2 linked regions of the Diceros bicornis minor genome follow. The protein of the gene in region 1 purifies or fractionates together with the protein of each later gene. This does not show direct contact. Links are inferred from orthologs where the notes say so. Each region holds a gene or a part of one and is shown on either strand. Other genes may lie near its edges.

Region 1 (6,517 bases):
GTAGTCAGTACAGGAAAATGCTTCTGAAGGGTTAGCTATAATTACTAGCACACACTGCCTACCCTGGCATACAGAAGGCACTCAGCCAATGTTATCTAGTATACCTTGCCTTGGATTTTTTGCCAAGTAAATTATGTAGTAATATTAAGTTTTTGTAAATATAAAGCATAAGAAACAAGACATATAAGACACTAGATTCCATAAATGAAGAACTTCAATATGTTTGTTATAAGTTAGAATGTTGCTACTTGACTTTACTTTCTTAAAATATGTAAGTGTAAATTGATGGCTTTGTACCAGCATCAAATATCTATGTAATAAAGCTAAATTCAAAGTGAAAATTGGAAACCTTGTTACCCAGAATTCTCTGCAGAAATTACTTGAAAAAAGAAAAAAAGCATAAAATAGAGAACTCTAAAACCATCTTAAATCACTAAAAGATTAACCATTCATTTATATATTTTTATTTGGAAATGTTTATATCAGTACAGTGAAACTAAATTTTAGAGACACTGGATGTCATTAGTTTGGATATCATTAGTTTATTATAAAAGAGAGACATGGAAATTATTTACAAGATGAAAGATTTCAGTACTTCAATGGAATGGGCAGCTTCACGTGATGCCATTTCAATAGTGATTCATTTCAGTCTACATACTTTCCAAGAATGTCACCATCTCTAAATAAGAAATAATCCTGCAAATAAAGAAACCATTAGTTAAGAAAACTAATACCAAATATGTAACTTCTAAAAAAAAAAAATCCATTACGTTTACACACCTTGTCGTCTAGAACTACTTTGGTGCCTCCATACTCTGGGAGAAGAACTTTATCTCCCACTTTCACACTAACTGGTTGAATCTCTCCACCCTTAAAAAAATAAGAATGTTTATTAGTAGAGACATCTAATTTACCAAATATTTACACCTAACTTTCATTAATCAAATATGCTCACTCAAATCAAATGTTAAAAAAGAACTTGGTGGCCAAGTGATATAATCTATACAATTGTAGTTCTTCACTCAAAACTTATCATTGTAGAGTCACACTTTGAAATGAGGCACACACAGTGGCTTAAACTAAAACCTGATTTCACTGTAAAAGTTCAAGGAGTTATACTGGGAAAACTAACTTAAACTAGCTTTTAAATTGTTAAATATTAACATAACCCATCGACTAAGTGAAATAAACAAGTTTTAAAAACCGTATACATAACAGTCTGTATAACTTCCTTCAATACACAAACACTTAACAGAAGTTTTCTGAATTCGGAACATACATTTTTTTTTCCATTCAATTTCCTTTGCTCCCAAGTATAGACTTGGGGAGGAGACTGAAGCAGAGTGTCCACTCTTCCAAGCCTTCCTATTCCTAACTCCAGGATTCCTTGCTAGAACTTTCTTAGAGGCATGGACAATGCAATTAACATATTTGACCCTAAGAGCATTTACTATGTATTCTGGTTGACACTTTTATAAGTCTGAAATGTAACCAATTAATTAGAAAATGACCTTGAAGATAACACAAGCTACGTAAAAGCCTATTTTTAATAATAACCAATAATTACTTTTTCCCTCCACATAATAGTTCCATTTTAGCCCCCATTTACCTTTCCTTTAGAGCCCGATCCAACAGCCACTACTGTTGCTTGCAATACTTTTCCTTGAGATTTTTCTGGAAGCATAATGCCTCCTTTGGTTACAGTTTCGGCTGCACTCCTTTCAACCAATACTCGGTCAAAGAGGGGAAGAAACTTTCTAAATGCCTGTCCTGCCTGTAGAGAAAGAAATGTCGGATAACACAAAAACAACATGTAATTATATTCTAAACAGGCAACACCACTGTAAGCCTTCTGTATCACAGGCCACGTGTGGCTTTCAAAGATCATGCCCAAACTCAGATTATTTACCCAGGAAACCCACTTGAAGGTTCTGCTCTGTAGCCCGAGTTTAATTTCCCATTCCCCATGTGTGTTAGGGGTCCTTGCTGCTCCTCTGGTCAGCAGCCAGACCACCTTTAAGGGCAACCTTAGTTTATTCCAAGGTCAAATACTATCCTTCCTCAGGTTTTTCTGGGAATTTTCAGCAAACACTGCAGTCAATCCCTACGCCCGGGGCCATGCTTTCTCCGACATATTACACACCCCCCAGCGCCCTGCAACAGCCGCAGGCCGGCCGCCGCGCGGTTCGGGGTTCCCGGCCCACAGGCCTGCAGCACGCGCGCGCGCAAAGAGCCCTCGGCGCGGGGAAGGGGCGGAGGGGCCTCGCCTCTCCAGGGTCCCGGCGGGCGCCGCTCACTGGGTGACCCCCACCCCTCCGGCTAGGCCCAAGAGAACCGTCCGGACTCCCGGTGCGCCTCAGGCCGACCCGGGACCGCCACCCCCCCGCTCACGGCGGCCTCACCATGACTCCGGCCGCCGCAACCCACACTCCGCTCTAGCGCCGCCGTCGCAAGCAGAGACCCGTAGTCCGACCCTCGAGACACGTGAACTTGGGACAAGGCACCCGGCGCGCAGGCGCGCTCGCCCCCGGCCCCCGCCCCTCCCCGCGCGAGGGGGCGGCCGCAGCAGCGCGCGCCGCGATTCGCCGCGAGGGCCCTGCGCAGGCCCCTGACGCCGGGAGGCGGAAGGAAAGAGGAGCCCTTTCTAGGCTTTTCTAGGCCCCCGCCGAGGTGAAAGTACTAGCCCTCCGCCCTCCTCCCGGATGTGACGCGGTTTAACCCTTAACCCGCAGGGAGCGCGGCGCCCCCAGAAAGTTCTGGAACCCAGCGCAGCCCGGGAACCAGCATACGCCGGCCGGAGAGGGCCGAGTCCGCGGGCCTGGCCCGGCGCTGGTAGGGAGGGGCGGGCTGGCCCGCGGCGCATGCAGATTGCCGGGCCTGCCGCCGGCGAGGGCGGGAGCCGCCTGCGCGCGCGGCGCGGCGGGGCGGGGGAGTGGCGGAGGGAGGGGACACGGGCTCATTGCCGTGTGCGCCCTGCACTCTGTCCCTCACTCGCCGCCGACGGCCTGCCTCGCCTTCCGCACGCCGCGCCGCCGCCCCGCAGGTACGCGGCCGCTCCGCGCCGCCGCGCCCAGGGCCTCGGACCCCCGAGCCGGCCTCCCCCCGCTGCAGTCCTGCCTGAAGTGGGCGGCGGGGGAGAGCCAGGGCCTCCTCCGGCGCCGCAGGCCCGGGCCCCTTGGCCAGGCCTGGCGGGTCCATGCGCGAGCCCATCACGTGCCGCGTGGAGCCCTCGCCCGGGCAGGGCGCAGGAGGGAGGGCTTGCCCGGGAGTGCGTGTGGAATCGGGGGAGTGCTCTCGTGGGCCCTCCCATGCAACCCACTCCTGGACTGCAGGACCCCGGGGAGGGTGGTCTCACCCGCGTGGGAACCGCGTTTGGCCCCGCGGACCGCTGGGGTACGGCACTTCGACCCTGACCTTGCTCGGGGCGTCCTGATGGAAAGACACTTGGGGTCGCGCCGAGTGGGCCAGGCCGCAGCCCCCTGCATCGCGGCCTTGCGGGCTGCTCTGATACAGTAGCCCCGAGAGGATACATGAAGGCACATTTCACTAAGCGGAATTTTACGCCGTCAGGCATATTTGTACTCTCCTGGTCCCTCGGGTTTATAACCTGCCCGTCTGCTGCAGGCTTGGTTTTTTTAGGGGCGCGTGTGGAGTGGCTTTGCTCTGAAGGCCGTTTTAGCAGTGAAAGATTAACTCCTTTTCAGCGGCAGGGGTAGGTGGCCATGGGGACGAAGAGGGGCCTGCTTTGTGCTAGTGCTCTAGGTCAGGCGTGGAGGCGGCCTCTTCAGGCTCGTCCTGGTACCTGGTGTTCTGCAGCTGTGGCGCTTTCCGTGGCCCGGGTGTAGTGGCTGGCAGAGGTCAGACCAGCTCACGTCTAACACTTTTTATTCTGTTGCACAGGTGTCATTTTTGTGCTGTAACGCACCACTGGGAGTGCCACTATTGTACTGATGGTCTGCTTTTTTTCCCACCCAGAAATGCTTCGATTACCTGCAGTCCTTCGCCAGATTAGGCCAGTGTCCAAATCACTGGCTCCTCATCTCACTCGGGCTTATGCCAAAGATGTAAAATTTGGTGCAGATGCCCGAGCCTTAATGCTTCAGGGTGTAGACCTTTTAGCCGATGCTGTAGCCGTTACTATGGGGCCAAAGGTAACTGTTGTTATTTTGTTATACTTTATAATATTGTTAATTAAGGAATAATATTTTACTGATGAGAAGTCACACTGAACTGTTGAACAGTATTTTAGTATCCGTTTTTGAGAAAAACCAGTTTACATATGTGAGTTCTAAATTATTGGTTAATTTTTTTGTCTTTTTTTGCTTAGATATAATGGTCTTAAACTGCTCCTGCCAAATTTTCGAAACTTTCTTTTTTACAATGTGTGATGTAATCGAGTGGTAACTAACTCATAGCTCAAGGTGGATTCTTAAACTCAGTGTAGAATTAATCTTGCTTGCCTGCTTGAGTTAAATTTTGGATTCTTTCCCAGTAGTTAATACCAAGCATAGAAGGAAGACTATAAGTACGTCCCATAATACCTCAAGTATGTGCTTTTAGGTGCTAGTTTTACCTAGTGTTTTTCTCTTGTCCGTTCTGTTCTAAAGCACATTTAAAATTCTAAGTCTTATTTAACGTTAAGAGATTGGTGAGCGAGGGGTGATAATTTGAGGAGGCTTTTGAAGGTGGTGCACAGTTGAAGACCGTTCAAATATCAAAGTAATCCAAACTGTATAGATTACAGCATTTGCATGCCTCACAGGTAGCAGCTGTGGTTCAAATCCAAAAGCTGCCAATACTGTTTGCACCATGTTTGAGATTTAATGTTGAACGATCCTGGAAGAGTGCACTATACTTACCTTGCTGTTAATAGTTTATCTTTTTTTTTTTTCCTTTATTTTTTTCCCCCCAAAACCCCAGTAGATAGTTGTATGTCATAGCTGCACATTCTTCTAGTTGCTGTATGTGGGACACGGCCTCAGCATGGCCGGAGAAGCGGTGCATCGGTGCGCGCCCAGGATCCCAACCCGGGCCGCCAGCAGTGGAGCACACGCACTTAACCGCTAAGCCACGGGGCCGGCCCGCTGTTAGTAATTTAGTAACTAAACTTTAGACTTTAAAAGTAAGTTTTCACAATACTTTCAAAGATGGCAGGCACAGGACAAAATTTAAGTATAAATGATGTGAAGAATATTCTGGAATTTAATTATAATCTACCAGATTGGTATTGGTTTATCTCATGTTCTTGTTGTTTTCTAAGAGGACACCTTTTAGTCTCTAGGATTTTTATCCCCCATAATACCTTATTCAAAGTTATGCAATTGGCAACAGAGAGGTAATTTTGCTTGTAAGAACATTGATGAATTTGCCCTTGAGATTCATGCTGCTGATTTGATAAGATGACAACTTGCATTGAGGCTTTTGAGTGATTGCCCCATTACAGTCACGTGCCATTTAACAACTGGGATATGTTATGAGAAATTGTTGGGCGATTTTGTCATTCTGCGAACATCATAGAGTTCTTAACACAAACTTAGGTAGTATAGCCTACTACACACCCAGGCTGTGTGAAACTAATCTTATGGGACCAGTGTCATATATGCAGTCCGTTGTTGACCGAAACGTCGTTATATGGCATGTGGCTATAAAAACTGCTCGTTCTGTTTTAAGTTAAGTAGTACTTAGAGTGCGAGTCTGTTCCATTTTTTTTCCTCTGCAATTATAGGGAAGAACAGTGATTATTGAACAGAGTTGGGGAAGTCCCAAAGTAACCAAAGATGGTGTGACCGTTGCAAAGTCCATTGACTTAAAAGATAAATATAAAAATATTGGCGCTAAACTTGTTCAAGATGTGGCCAATAACACAAATGAAGAGGCTGGGGATGGCACCACTACTGCTACTGTTCTGGCACGCTCTATTGCCAAGGAAGGCTTCGAGAAGATTAGCAAAGGTGCTAATCCAGTGGAAATCAGGAGAGGTAGGAATGTCTCCTCATTGTCACCACAGTGTTTTGAACTATTAAGTTATACTAGAAAATTGATTCTTATTTCTTCTCTCTCCTAAAAAATCTTAGCCTGGGTTTTTCTTCAGCAAATAGTGATTGAATGCTTGGCTTTGTGCTTTGGGCACTGTGGTTGCTGTTAAGGAGGGAAGTGTGACTAAGACATACCCTGTCTTCTGTCCATCCCGTGTGTCCCCTCCTCTGAAAGCCAACAGTTTATTGGAAGATACACATGTACTATGTACCTTGAAAATAGTAAACTTGTGGGGATTAGAGCAGAGAGGGGTTATACACCTTTGATGTTTTACTTTATTTAGAAAGTAGGGGCTGAACAGGAAACTAAGTCACCCAGGATGTCAGAAAGTTTTTTGTTCTTTTTAGCAGCTTTTTCTTACCTCTTAACAGTACATACTGTGTTATTAATCTGCATTTTATTATTGCTTGTTTTGGTGAGCTACAGACCACAATTTAAAGATCTCAACGTGAGGTTCATGTTGATATAGACTCATCTTGTC
Region 2 (6,517 bases), on another chromosome or scaffold:
TGGCTGGCAGCCACCACGTCCATTCTTCCAGGAGAAGGTCCTTGATGACCCTCCCCCAGGACATCTCTGACGTCGGTATAGAGACCCCTCCACCCTGACGGGAAAAGAGATTCAACAAATTGAACTGACAACCCTCCCCAAATGAATGATGAATCTAAGGTAAATACAGACATAAAAACAGGAAACCAAGAGTGTTTCTTTCAGTCATAGGCACCTAAAAGCACATCCTTAGACACATGCAAGAATAACTCAGAACTTGTCTTCTAGGAGTGTGACCTAACTCACTCTCCTGTTTGCTGTCTTTGGGTTTTTCTTTTGCTCCTTACAAAACCAGCACTGCAAAATCTCTGCACAGACGGATCTACTTTACACACTGCTGCTGAGGGTTTCCCTGAAACTCTCTGCTCTCACAGGACCCCAACATATCCCACCCCAGTCAGTTTCAACCCCCACTACTCCCTCTCATATATCCCTCCTTTCAGCCAAACAAAAGGACACCCTGGTTCTTGTATATGTCCCAAACCCAGCTCCCTCTGCCTGAAAAACCTGTCTCCACGTCAGCATGTCCAAATCTCCTGGAGTCAAGGCCAGGATCAAATGCCACCTCCTTCATGAAGCCACTGCCGAACCCCAGTGAAAAGTCATTTTGCCCTCTTCTGAAAGGTGACAGTACTGGCTCCTTTTAGGGTGCCTGTCACCCCTGCCCCACTTCCTCTCACACTCCATTCTGGGGTCAGCAATGATGCAACCTAGGGACTTGCTTGCCACTCACAGTCCACTTGCATGCTCCTGTGTTGTCACCTCTCCTGCCACACAAAGCATCGTCTTGGTTTTCCAAAAAACAGACCTCTGGAAGATACGTAATGAGAAAGAGGAACGTAGGGCTGGCCCCGTGGCTTAGCAGTTAAGTGCACAGGCTCCGCTACTGGTGGCCGGGTGTTTGGATCCCGGGCGCGCACCGACGCACCGCTTTTCTGGCCATGCTGAGGCGGTGTCCCACATACAGCAACTAGAAGGATGTGCAACTATGACATACAACTATCTACTGGGGCTTTGGGGAGAAAAAGGGAAAAAAAGGAGGAGGACTGGCAATAGATGTTAGCTCAGGGCCGGTCTTCCTCAGCAAAAAGAGGAGGATTGGCATGGATGTTAGCTCAGGGCTGATCTTCCTCACAAAACAAATAAAAAAGAGGAAAGAGGAAAGTGACAAAGGAAGGCATATGTGCAAGGCTGAGGGCTCCACAAGGAGTCAGAGCCCTAGCTCACTGCCTGTCTCAAGTCACTCACACACCCTGAGCCTCAGCTGCCAAAGCCAAAAGCAAGGGAGCGAGCAATGACTCTCACAGTCTTGCTTGAAAAGATCTACAGCTGGAAACCTCTCAGCAAGAAGTACAGGAAATACACACAGCAGGGAAGATGTCCCCCCTCCTCCCCATGCTACTGCAGAGATGCCCACAGATTCTGAAGAAAGTTCTGCTGCACCAAAGACTTGCATAAAAGCACCCATCAAGGCAGCTCTTCTGAGTGCAAGTCGATGAAATCACCAAAGGGGGTTTCCTAGTGAAAACTGGTCAGATGCTCAGGAGGGGAAGAGAATGCTCTGGCTCCAAGTATAGCTATTAAATGCCCCACTTCACTCAGCATTAGGAACATCTGTTCACCTAAGGTCCTCACCCAAACATTTACTGAGCTCCTCCTAAATGCAATTACTATGAAAAATACAAAAGAAATAGGAAGGAAGTTGTGATATTGTGATTTATAATAAATTTATATTTTGGTTTTCGTCCCCAAACCCTTGTAATTTCCTAAGGGCAATGGGAACATCTTTTGTTATAATATTTGGTCTTAGATCCTCAGTTCCTGAAATCGCTTCAGAGCCATGAAGGTGACATGGGTGTCTTGTTATTCATAACAAGCCCGTTTTGGGGTTGGCCCAATGGCATAGCGGTTAAGTTCACACATTCCACTTCAGTGGCCTGGGGTCCACTGGCTCAGATCCTGGGCATGGACCTACTCATCGCTCATCAAGCCATGCGGAGGCAGCGTCCCACATAGAGCAACTAGAAGGATGTACAACTACGATGTACAACTATCTAGTGGGGCTTTGGGGAGAAAAAACAAGAGGAAGACTGGCAACAGATGTTAGCGCAGGGCCAATCTTCCCAAAAAAAAAGCATAACAACCCCCTTTCCACCACAACTGAGTTTATGTCAATGAGGTGACTTGTGGAAACCCCCTAAGGATGAGGGCTGGTTGCCAGGGGAATAAAGTGTGATTAGAGGGTTGGCACCTCCATAAAAACCCAAAAGGAGGGGATTCAGAGAGCTTCCAGGTTGGTGAACCAGAACACTTCCACGTGCTGGGCCCCAGGGGCCCGAACTCCAAGGGGACAGAAGCTCCTGTATTTGGGATCCTTCCAGACCTCACCCTAAGTATCTCTTCATCTGGCTGTTCATTCACATCCTTTAATATTCTTTGTAATAAACTGGTAATCTAGTAAGCAAACTGGTTTCCTGAGTTCTGTGAGCCGCTCTAGCAAATTCATCCAACCACAGGGGTCATGGGAACCTCCTCATTTATAGCCAGTTGGTCAGAAGCACAGGTGGCAACCTGGATTTGCATCTGAAATAGCAGTCTTGTGGGACCGGACCCTTGTGGGACTGTGGGAGCTGGTGCTATCTCCAGGTCAATAGTCTCAGAATTGAGTTAAATCTGTGGGACACCTTGTCAGTGTCCACAGAAAACTGGAGAACTGCTTGGTGGTGTTAAAAAAAGCACGTATTGTAGAAGTTATTGCCATTGTTGAGCACGTACTGAGTGCAAAGTATTACCCAGGGTACTTGATATATATGTTTCACCTACATAAGTAAAACATTTGCCACTAAAAAATGCATGGACAGGTTTTTACCAAATGTCTAGAATATACTTAAGGTGTGTGACTTCAAGTATATGCTACATGGAACGAGACTTACTGAGAGTGGGAGGACCCTGAGGAGCAAGCATGGGTGCTGCCTGGGAAAGGGAAACAGGATGATTTCATACAAGAACCCCAAAATCAAAACTCAAAAGGGCAGAACTCCCAAACTGCAGAAAGCCTGTGCAAACAACCTCCTGTTCGGGGGCAGTGGTAGCAAAGATTTGTTTAATGACAGTCAGCAGTCCCCTGAGCAGCAGCCCGTAGACCAGGTCACTATTCAGCCATGTCCCACGCACACAACTGCCTGAGATTCTGAGACTGGAATGCGCTCCACGGAAAGAAGCGTTTTTCAGGTCCCTGCACCATCCTCAGCACCTGGAACAGACTCTGGTACCGAAGAAGAGTTCAATAAAGGTTTCCTGGATGAACCGAAGACTCCTTGCTATCTCTGCATTAAACTCTTCACCAGTCTTTTAGTAGCTGTGTGGGATGGCATCAAGTGCATGTACCGTTAGTTACTTAAACATTCGTCCATTATTGGGCATTTAAGTTAGCTTCCCAACAACTATGATTAACAACCAGGGGCCTGAAGATTTTTCCGTCTGTAGGCCCAGTTCCGAGGCAAGAATTCCAAAATCTGCAATTACTGTGTAGAAGAGTGATCAACATATGCTGGTGGGGACAATAAAAACGTATATACCTTTAGACCCAGAAGTTCCACTACTAGAAATTTATCCAAAAGGTGGGGTACAAACAAGGTGATTCACCACAGCATTACTTGTACCAACTAAACATTAGAAACGACTTCGCTAAGACAACGGTTAATTTACGAAACATCAATATAATGGAATTCCCCAGATCAGTATAAAAGACTGAGAAAGCTTTCACGCTTTCAAGGGAAGCCACTCCAAGACAAACTGTTACATAAAAAGCCAAAGCACCGAATACAATCCGACTAACAGGGGTGGGGTAGCAGGCCCCAACGCGCGAGCGCTGCTCGCAGGCGCCCAAAGCGCCGTGAGGAGGAATGACCCGCCATCCGAGCCGCGCCTCGGGGCTGCGGACACCGCCGGCACGGCGCTCCAGCTCCGCGTCTCGCGCTGGACCCGCCCGCCCCGCGGCGGCCACCGGGACGAACCGAGGCTTGCGGGCCCAAGCCCGCTCACCGCCTGGGCCCAGGAGCCTGAGGGCGGGAAGCACAGGCCGAGCATACAGCGCCATGTTCCTCCGCAGCCCGCTGGCGTGAGCGTCCCCGAGGGTCACGTGCCCATCCGCGCGCTCGCCCCGCCCCCACCATGCTTGCCCTCGCCCCGCCCCGCGCGCCCGGTGTAGGTTAGCTCCCTAGTCTGTTGAGATGCCGCCTCTCGTCCCAAGACCAAACCAGGACCCTGAACTTCTCTATCCTGCATTCCCGCCTTTTTCAGTCGGGATGGTGATCGTGATGACAACTGACACTGTGTAAGCGCTCAATATGGTCAGGCATTACATTTACACTCGGTCCTCGCAAGACACTACGAGGAAGGTACTAGTTGTATCATCCCACTTGAGCTTGAGAAACGCGGGTCACAAAGGCCACAGAGCCAGTCGATGCCCGGTGGACCCCAGGCGCCTGTTCTGTGCCCCGCCTCAAAGGCAAAGGCAGCCGCGGGGCTAGCCGGGGACGACCCGAGGAGAGAATTTCATCCACAGCGCAGACGCGCGGTTACCCTGACAACCGACGGGCGCGGGAGGCCGCGCTCGGCGCTCCCGGCCTGCCCCGCGAGACGCGGCGCCGGAAGTGAGTGAGCACTTCCGGCGGCCATCCCCTCTGCGGCGATATCTTCGTTTCCCGCGATCCCGGGGTCTTCCTGCCGTGATGAAGGACGTGCCCGGCTTCTTACAGCAGAGCCAGAGCTCTGGTCCCGGCCAGGCCGCCGTGTGGCACCGTCTGGAGGAGCTCTACACGAAGAAGTGAGCGCCGGGCTGAGGGGACCCGGGCCCCCGGGGAGAGGAGGGCGAGGCGGAGGGGCGAGACCTGACGCACTGAGGGTCTCGGACCCGTGTGGGCAGCGTGAGGACAGGCGAGGCCGGGCGGTAGCTGAGGACCCCGGAGGTGCAGGGCCGAGGGGGAGGAGGGGTGACAGCCCGTGAGGACTGAGGAGCGGAGCCGTCGGCAGGGTTTTGGGGTGTAGGATTCACTCCCTTCCTGCCCGAGGGACTGTAGCTGAGCCTTCTGAGCTCTCCTCTGGTTTTAGAATAGTGCTCAAGGCTGGCCTGTGCATTTAGCTCTTGACTCCGGTCAAACAAGCATACGCCCTTTCGGGGTCAGGCTGCTACCCGTTTGGATAACAGATGCTGGTGTCTTGTACTTAGCCTTGTCATAGCGTGACCGTGTCTACAGTCATCTTTCTCAGCGGCCTGGAGTGGATGGACCAGGGGCCAGTGCAGTTTTGTTCCTTTCTCTGTTGATTCTGCAGCTGGTTACAGCTCAGGTGCAGCCACATTCCCCTCTCCCATGGTCCTTACGTTCCGTTGCGTTTCTTATTGGGCTTCGTGCCTCTGGAGACACCTCAGAGTTTGAGTTTGTTTAGAAACAGGATAAATTGCAAAACGATTAACTTGTCTGTTGCTAAGCACCAGTCTCTTTTTAAGTGAGTAGAATAAATTGTTGGCATTGTGCTAGCGATGTTCTATAGGAAAATACACCTCTTGTAAAAACCTCCGTGTTAACAACCCTAGCGTTAGGCATAGTGTCTTTCATGTAGATATTCAATACATGTTTTGATCATGTTCAGCATCCTGCTGTTAGCAGTTTTTGAGAGAAAATTCTTAGTGTTTGGGAAATAGTTGTTTGTGTTGGATAGCACTTTGTATTTTTCAGGGCATTTTATTTGCGTTCTTAAAAATTAGCCTTTGGGGGCCGACCCTGTGGCTTAGCGGTTAAGTGCGCGCGCACCGCTACTGGTGGCCCCGGTTCGGACCCCGGGTGCGCACGGACGCACCGCTTCTCCGGCCATGCTGAGGCCGCGTCCCACATACAGCAACTAGAAGGATGTGCAACTATGACATACAACTAGCTACTGGGGCTTTGGGGAGAGAAAAAAAAAGGAGGAGGATTGGCAATAGGTGTTAGCTCAGGGCTGATCTTCCTCACACACACACAAAAAAAATTAGCCTTTGGTTTCAAATGTGCCATGTCAGTGTTGTAGAGGATTTATGTACTAGCTCATTTAAGCCTTCATCCGTTTCACAGATGAGGAAACTGAAGCTCAGTTTAGGCTTCTTCCCGGAGATACTCAGCTAATAAGTAGAAGAGCAGGATTTCAACTTAAAGATGTGTGATCAAACTTAACAGTAACCTCTTGAGGTAGTTTAGCAAGATGTTCTCCATTTATAGCTGAGAAAACTGAGTCTTAGAGAGGTTAAGTGATCTCAAGGTGACATAACCATTGAGTAGTAGAGCCAGGAAAAGAACTCAGGTTTATGAGCATCTGCCTTTGCATTCTTCCTGTTACACCATAGAGACTGGTTAGTATTTGTTATCTGATAGATCTATCACAGCTGACGGTATCTGTGACTGGATATTAGTTTATAGGTCTCAAGGGCCTTATGTTTTTCAGG

What was found.
Region 2: the proteins of HSPD1 (region 1) and SIRT3 purify together in Homo sapiens (affinity purification with mass spectrometry; 3 studies listed by BioGRID and IntAct, counting the BioPlex papers as one, with this or other methods). This does not show direct contact. The link is inferred for Diceros bicornis minor from reciprocal best matches to the Homo sapiens genes HSPD1 and SIRT3.

The regions. Positions count from the first base shown.
Region 1 is NC_080749.1:75,337,326-75,343,842, reverse strand, and holds the start of HSPD1 (60 kDa heat shock protein, mitochondrial), read left to right. Parts: upstream 1-2,951; 5' UTR 2,952-3,043; intron 3,044-3,975; 5' UTR 3,976-3,977; coding exon 3,978-4,151; intron 4,152-5,725; coding exon 5,726-5,978; intron 5,979-6,517. Other genes in the region: MOB-like protein phocein, read right to left, coding at 1,610-1,774, 2,403-2,405. UniProt on the Homo sapiens protein: Chaperonin implicated in mitochondrial protein import and macromolecular assembly. Together with Hsp10, facilitates the correct folding of imported proteins.
Region 2 is NC_080770.1:58,188-64,704, forward strand, and holds the start of SIRT3 (NAD-dependent protein deacetylase sirtuin-3, mitochondrial), read right to left. Parts: upstream 4,139-6,517; coding exon 4,056-4,138; intron 1-4,055. Other genes in the region: PSMD13 (26S proteasome non-ATPase regulatory subunit 13), read left to right, coding at 4,773-4,867, 6,517-6,517.